Bombyx mori: one gene and its partner. The protein of the gene in region 1 interacts with the protein of each later gene in a pairwise test. Links are inferred from orthologs where the notes say so. Each region holds a gene or a part of one and is shown in the gene's direction. Other genes may lie near its edges.

The links.
Region 2: the proteins of cullin-5 (region 1) and transcription elongation factor B polypeptide 3 come close enough for resonance energy transfer, tested with the Homo sapiens proteins (3 studies listed by BioGRID). The link is inferred for Bombyx mori from reciprocal best matches to the Homo sapiens genes CUL5 and ELOA.

Annotation. Positions count from the first base shown.
Region 1 is NC_085129.1:7,724,588-7,727,717, forward strand, and holds the end of cullin-5, read left to right. Parts: coding exon 1-1,208; intron 1,209-2,328; coding exon 2,329-2,466; 3' UTR 2,467-2,510; downstream 2,511-3,130. UniProt on the Homo sapiens protein: Core component of multiple cullin-5-RING E3 ubiquitin-protein ligase complexes (ECS complexes, also named CRL5 complexes), which mediate the ubiquitination and subsequent proteasomal degradation of target proteins.
Region 2 is NC_085112.1:7,691,162-7,695,058, forward strand, and holds the start of transcription elongation factor B polypeptide 3, read left to right. Parts: upstream 1-854; 5' UTR 855-1,199; coding exon 1,200-1,271; intron 1,272-2,493; coding exon 2,494-2,692; intron 2,693-2,904; coding exon 2,905-3,080; intron 3,081-3,897. UniProt on the Homo sapiens protein: SIII, also known as elongin, is a general transcription elongation factor that increases the RNA polymerase II transcription elongation past template-encoded arresting sites.

The DNA of each region.
Region 1 (3,130 bases):
CATCAGCAGATATCATAACAACAGACTCTGAAAAGTATGTAGAGCGTTTGTTGGATTTATTCAGAAAATTTAGTATGTTAGTTAAAGATGCCTTCTTGGATGATCCAAGGTTTTTAACTGCCAGGGACAAGGCCTATAAATGCGTGGTAAATGATACAACTGTTTTTAAACTTGAGTTGCCTTCATCAACTCTTGCCCGTGGTAGTAAAGGTACAGCTCCTGAAAGCAAGTGCCCTGAACTTCTCGCTAACTATTGTGATATGTTATTACGAAAAACACCGCTAAGTAAAAGATTAACTAGTGAACAGATAGAAATAAGATTAAGAGACGTTTTGTTAGTTTTGAAATATATTGAAAACAAAGATGTATTTATGAGGTATCATAAGGTTCATTTAACAAGAAGATTGATATTAGACTCAAGTGCGGACTCTGAAAAAGAAGAGGATATGGTAGAGTGGTTACGTGAAGTAGGTATGCCTGCAGACTATGTAAATAAATTAGCACGAATGTTTCAAGATGTAAAAGTAAGTGAGGATCTGAATACACAATTTAGGGCAGACACAACTCGTCATGATGCCATCAATATTAAAATACTCAATGCTGGAGCTTGGGCCCGTGGATCTGAAAGAGTAACAGTAAGTCTGCCACTAGAATTAGAAGACTATATTCCTGAAGTTGAAGAGTTTTATAAAAAAAAGCATTCAGGTAGAAAATTGCAGTGGTATCATCACATGAGCAATGGCACTATAACATTTGCTAATTCAGTAGGTCGTTTTGACTTGGATGTTACAACTTTTCAAATGGCAGTGCTATTTGCATGGAATCAAAGACCTATGGAAAAAATAAGTTATGAAAATTTGAGATTAGCAACAGAACTTCCAGACCCTGAACTGAGAAGGACTTTATGGTCTCTTGTGGCTTTCCCAAAATTAAAAAGGCAATTGTTGTGCTATGATCCATTGATTCAAAATCCTAAAGACTTTGTCCAGAATACAATATTTTGGGTAAATCAGGAATTTGCGCTTATTAAGAATGGAAAACCACAACGTAGGGGTAAAATAAATTTGATTGGAAGACTTCAGTTGAGTACAGAGAGATCTCAAATAGAAGATAATCATTCCATTGTGCAGCTAAGAATATTGAGGACTCAAGAGGCAATCATAAAAATACTAAAGATGAGGAAACGCATTACAAACACAGCACTTCAGGTATGGAACTTATATATTTTTGTTTCGATGTACAGTAAAAGCTCTATTTGCAGGCTATATTTTCCCTAAATATGCTGCGAATATGGAAAAGCGCGTTTACAAAGGATGTTCGGTTCGACCTCCTACCTTGGAATCTTTTATATCAATGTGTATGTACTGATTAGATTTCGAGATAGAGATTCGTGAATCAAGAAATCTTTAGGCGCGAACGTAGGCATTAGGTCGCATTTTTTTAATCAGCGAATAGTGAAAGCGCGAATAAAGAGCTTTTACTGTGTTAACTTTGAATATCTGTTCCAAACATGTGTACATGAATGCTTTCCACTAAAAACAAATATGTATATAAATACTTAAGGTAAGCTTTTTGTGTTAGGAGATTGCATCAGTAAGTACTGTATTCCTTACAGGTTACACTCATAATAGTGCAAAGTGGTCTTCTACCACATGGGGTAGTAGTGTTTTTATATTTCAGTAACCACACTTGATACCAAGTAGATACTGAGCTAGTTCATGCTGCACAAATGATGATTGATTATAATTTTGCCATGACTTAACAAAAGAAAAATTTGAACATACTTAGGTATAATAAATTGGTTTGGAAGAAAGCCTTTGCTTAAATAAATAAGTTTTGACAATGTTTTCGTAATTGCTTTCATGATTCTTAATTCTCCAATAAATGTTATATGGTATTTAAATAATTGAAAAGGTGTGTTGGGTTCACATATTCAAATATTACATCTTATTCTAAGCAGCAGAAATTCAGACGATAAGGGCTGACGAAGTGACGAAGATCACCAATTGAAGATTTTTCTTGTATTGTTCACTAATAAATACATTCTCCTTGTCTCCACCTTATACCACTAAGTGGGATCGACACTGCCAATGTTTGTATTCTCCTCTATCAGCCGTCATCTCAACACTCACTCCTCTCTCTCTCATATCGTCATTCACACTCCATCCATGTCTTCTTCGGTCGACCTTTTTTCCCCTGCAGGATACCACAATTTCCATACATCTCCTATTTACGTGCATCTCTACGCATCACAATATGACCATAACACGCTAACCGTCCGCTCTTTATAAATAAGTAACAAATTTTTATTATTTTTATTCCTTGCAGAGCGAGCTGGTAGAGATTCTAAAAAATATGTTTCTACCATCGAAGAAAATGATAAAAGAGCAATTAGAATGGCTTATTGAACATAAATATATGCGTCGCGACGACGAAGATATTAACACGTTTATATACATGGCCTAAAGTCAATAATGTAAATGAATAAAATCAATAAATTATTTACTCTATTTCTCTGTTTATATATCTATATCTGTAGTCTCTGTTAATAGTTCAAAATATCATGTGTTGTTTATTAGTAATTGTAAGGTAGGTAACATAAATGCATATTGATATTATGTTAATATTTTATTAAATACATAGAACATAGTTTACATTATTAAATGTAAAAAAAACATAAAATTAGTTGTTGGCTGGTTCTATAGTTGTACCTCCTTGAATTTGTCCCCAACCAATTAACCTGAAAATAAGTAATAATATGTTGACAAAACTTGTTTCAAAGCACATGTGGTATACCAGTTATGCATTGATACTAACCGCCAGTGATTTTCTACTCTTCTACTCAATGCTACTTTTTCTCCAATTTCCGTGCAAACAGGGTTCGTAAGGGCGATTTTAGCCAAATCAACTTTTGTGGCGATTACTCGGCCGCCAGTACTTAACGATCCAATATTTACGAGGAGGACCTAAAAAATATTTAATGTGCAACTTTAATTACAATAGATGTGTGATCAACCTAACGGCCCAAATAGTGCTAAGACATTACTGTAGTTTCTAAATAATGTACCACTGTTAATTACCTCATTTTTGACTAATTTTTGGACTTTGGCAGCCTTTTTATCTCCTTCAG
Region 2 (3,897 bases), on another chromosome or scaffold:
TAATCTAAGAAGAAAATAATATAAGGCTTGGCTTAAAGGTCTCGTTACCTGGCCCTAAAATCTTTAAAACGAAGGTGATTTTGTCTCGAACTAAATATTGACGTATTTAGACTAAAATCTAGACAAATTACTTTGAATTCATTCAAATTACATAGAAGAATAACTCCATCTTCAAATTGCTTAGAATATTTTCGGAACATAGTCTTGCTTTGCCAAAGTTTATGCCAATTTTAACGTCTTTAATTTTATGTTAGCTGTACGTTGCTGCAATATTACACGTAGCGTAGGTAGACCTCACAAAAAGGGAACCAACGACCTGTCGTTCTGGCGAGGCCTGGGGAAGGCCTATGTCCAGCAGTAAACGTCTGTGGCCTAAACGATAAATAAATAAATATTTAACGGTACATTGCGGTCAAAGAGCAAACACTTTTTAAAATCTGTTTAAACATATGCTATTTCTTTACACTTTTTGCCAATAAAACAATTTAAAAGATCTGTCGTATGAGCAACGTACTCTGTACCTATTCAAGAGAAAATAAACATTTAAAAATGTCTTTGGTAGATTACACTAGCAAGCCAAAAAGCTTTTGGCTACGAATGCGAGGAGCGAAATTATGTGAATTGCTTTATTTTGTTCAATTAGTGCTTTTTCAGGTTTAAATGTCTAATAGCTATATAGTTTAATAACTGTTTAGCATCCGCAAAAGCGCACAAACGCGGAAAAAGTCGCCGTGGTCTAAAGGATAAGAGGTCCGATGCATTCGAATGTAGCGATACATCGAGCCAGTGATCGATGAAACAAAGCCGCTAGTCGTAGCTTCTCGGGTTCTTTCAAAAAGGCCTATGAAAAAACTCAGAAAATAACCACTATTTTACTGTTACCTTAATTCATCCAATGTCATCTTATTCAATTCATCTCATCTCAAATTATTCAATTTCATCTCATTTCGTTTCATATCATTTTTCATATTGTAACAGAAAATAAGAAGAAAAATGGCTTTGGCGAAAGGGCTCGTTATCAAGTCATAAAATTATCAAAAAAAAACTAGTACCTAAACCAAAGCCGTCTAAAAGGTAAAAACCAGTCAACGTCATTGACGCATGAAAAAGTGACAAAAATGGTGCCCGTTTACCAGCTGGCAGTGGCTATCATTGTCTGATGAAAAAAATCAACCCTTTTGTTGTAATATACATTTGGAATGGCGTCTGTTTTAGAATTAGTTAAATACTACCAACATAGTCTGGAAAAGAATTCTCACGACGAACCGAAAGTAAGTGAAGTTTTCAAATATTGAAGACTAATGAATTTCACAGCAATAGGAAGTCGATTGGAAATATATTCAATATTTACTGAACCCAAATTATGCAGTGAGGTGACATACGGTTTTACAACGAAACTTTTAACGCTATCAATACTGAATACAGTAAAAAAAAAACTGACGAAAGTCCTCCGACAAACTTTAAAGTTTTTACAAGGAAAACGTTAAATAAACTATAAATGTTACAAATCATAAAGATAAGATACAAGTATAATTATAATAACTATCAGAACGCAAATCATATATCAGATATAATATAATTCATCAGCACTCGACCTCAAAAATATACAATAACCCTACTGAACTTTTATTAATCAACAATAAAAAGGCAATGTGCAACAAATGATTAATAACTTATCGTATTTCAATGTGAAACATCACGAAAAAGTTATTAATCTAATTGACTGAATGAAACACAAACATTCACCAGAAGTAAACCCTTTACGTTAGTTATTAAGCTTGAATATCCTAGTGGAACGGTTGAAATCAAGTATTTATTCTTCAATTAAATGTATTGTTTTGTAGTAATGAAATAAAAATATAAGAATAACAACCTGAAGAATAAATATTCAAATTAAGTTAGCTAACTTTGGCAATATAATTTTTGGAAAATAGTTTTCATTGTATGATCCAAAATTTAGACACTGATTTGTGGTCAACTGTTTTTCGTCAAATTTATTGTAATGAATGTTATTGCATCAACGAAGACATTGTTTTTGTGAGACTTTCTGTAACAGCACAAAATTTATTTTTTGTCACTCAATGCTTTTAATCTGTTAGTAGAGATGACAATTATCACAGCATGAAGTTAAAAGCTAACAACTATGGCATCTGTTAAAATTAGACATGGTAATTATGTGCTAAAAAACAAAACAATGGTCATTAGCCCATAGTGACTTACGCTGTTGACAAGGCTGCTGCCTTAAAGCATTCCATCCAGTCCAAAATAGGGTTAATAGAAAAGAAAGAAAAAGAAGAAAAGTAGAATCTACTCAATAAAGGAAAATGGTTACATCTTTGTCATAAACAAATAGTGTTTGTAGAGGGACAGACAACTTTGTATTGTCTTATTAAATTCCTAGTACCTCTAATAAATTACTTGTGATAAACCAGATATTGTACCTGTATACCTTATAATAGTATATTATAATACCTTAAAATCTTTATTTTTTAGATTTTAAAATGCATAGACAAACTGAGTCACTTAGATGTGACAGTTCAACACTTACAAGAAACAGGTATAGGCCGGACTGTCAATGCATTACGAAAAGAACCAGGAGATGTTGGTCCTGCAGCCAGGGCTCTTGTTTACAAGTGGAAAGCAATGGTAGCAGCTGAATCAAGCGATAATGAGGGGGAGTCAAATACAGAAAGTAAGTTATTCTTTAAAACTTGTCATGAATTACCACTTTTTGTGATGGTGCTAAAAATTTTTTTTTTATCATTAATAGCTTCTAATACTATCAGTTAATTTCATAAAAGTAAGATACTGGAAGATTATTATATTTGCTTATAGCTTGAAATGATTTTTCCTGTAGCCTTGTTACATTACTACTTGAAAACTTGCTATGATCTAATTTGGCAGACACTCACAATGGGCAGAGAAATGATAAAGATAGAGAACCTGATAATAGTCAATACACTAAAAACCAATCTGAACATCGGGAAAGCATTTCAACTGCGCCTAAAACAAATCAACAAGTTCACAGAGATATGAATGGCCACCATGGTGGCAGCAAGAGGAAAAGCCATAGCAGTGAGGTAAATATTATTGATATTTTATAAAATTGCAAGGTTAATGGAATATAAAACAATGGTAAACGTCATAGTTTTAATTTTTTGAAAATCCGGTTGTTTCTAGTGAAAGAACATAACATTGCATAGTTGTTAGGTTACACATACATGATTTTTAAAATGCTAAAGTTTTTATAACTCCATGTCTTAAGTGGAAGTAGTTTCAGAATCAAACTAAATACATCAGATTGTTAAATAGGATTAGGGAGGAAAAATTACAAGTGTAGGTTACTTTATATAATAGAGTAATATAATAATATAGCTTGATTTCATAATAAAATCGGCTTTCCTAGACCATAAAATATAATAAAGCTACTTTCACTCTGTGTAGATTTGTGTCATCAAAAATACTGTTTAAACAAAATCGTCCATGCCATTTGCATAATTAAATTCATTTTGCTTAAATTAACATTGGTGTTGGTCGTGTAGAATAGATTAGGTATATGAAGGACTTAATTTATTTAATTTGCTCAAGTGGATGCTTAGAGAAGTTATATGTAATATGAAACTCCAATTTAATGTAGTTTTTAGTCAACCTTACAACTTTTGACCAACCAATAATTTGAGGTTGGTGTATCAGAGAACAGGATGTTGTGGTATATAATGTAATATAGATAAAATAAGTTGAAGTCTGTTTTCTTCTAACTCGTTTTATTTGTATTTTGATAAAAACTACGCTATCATTAATTTTCACATTTTTGTAGAACTAACACCGGGTGTTGAATTGTTACCGCAACCGTGAGAGCCACTTAGGGAAATAAAATCGAAAAATCAATAAGATAAA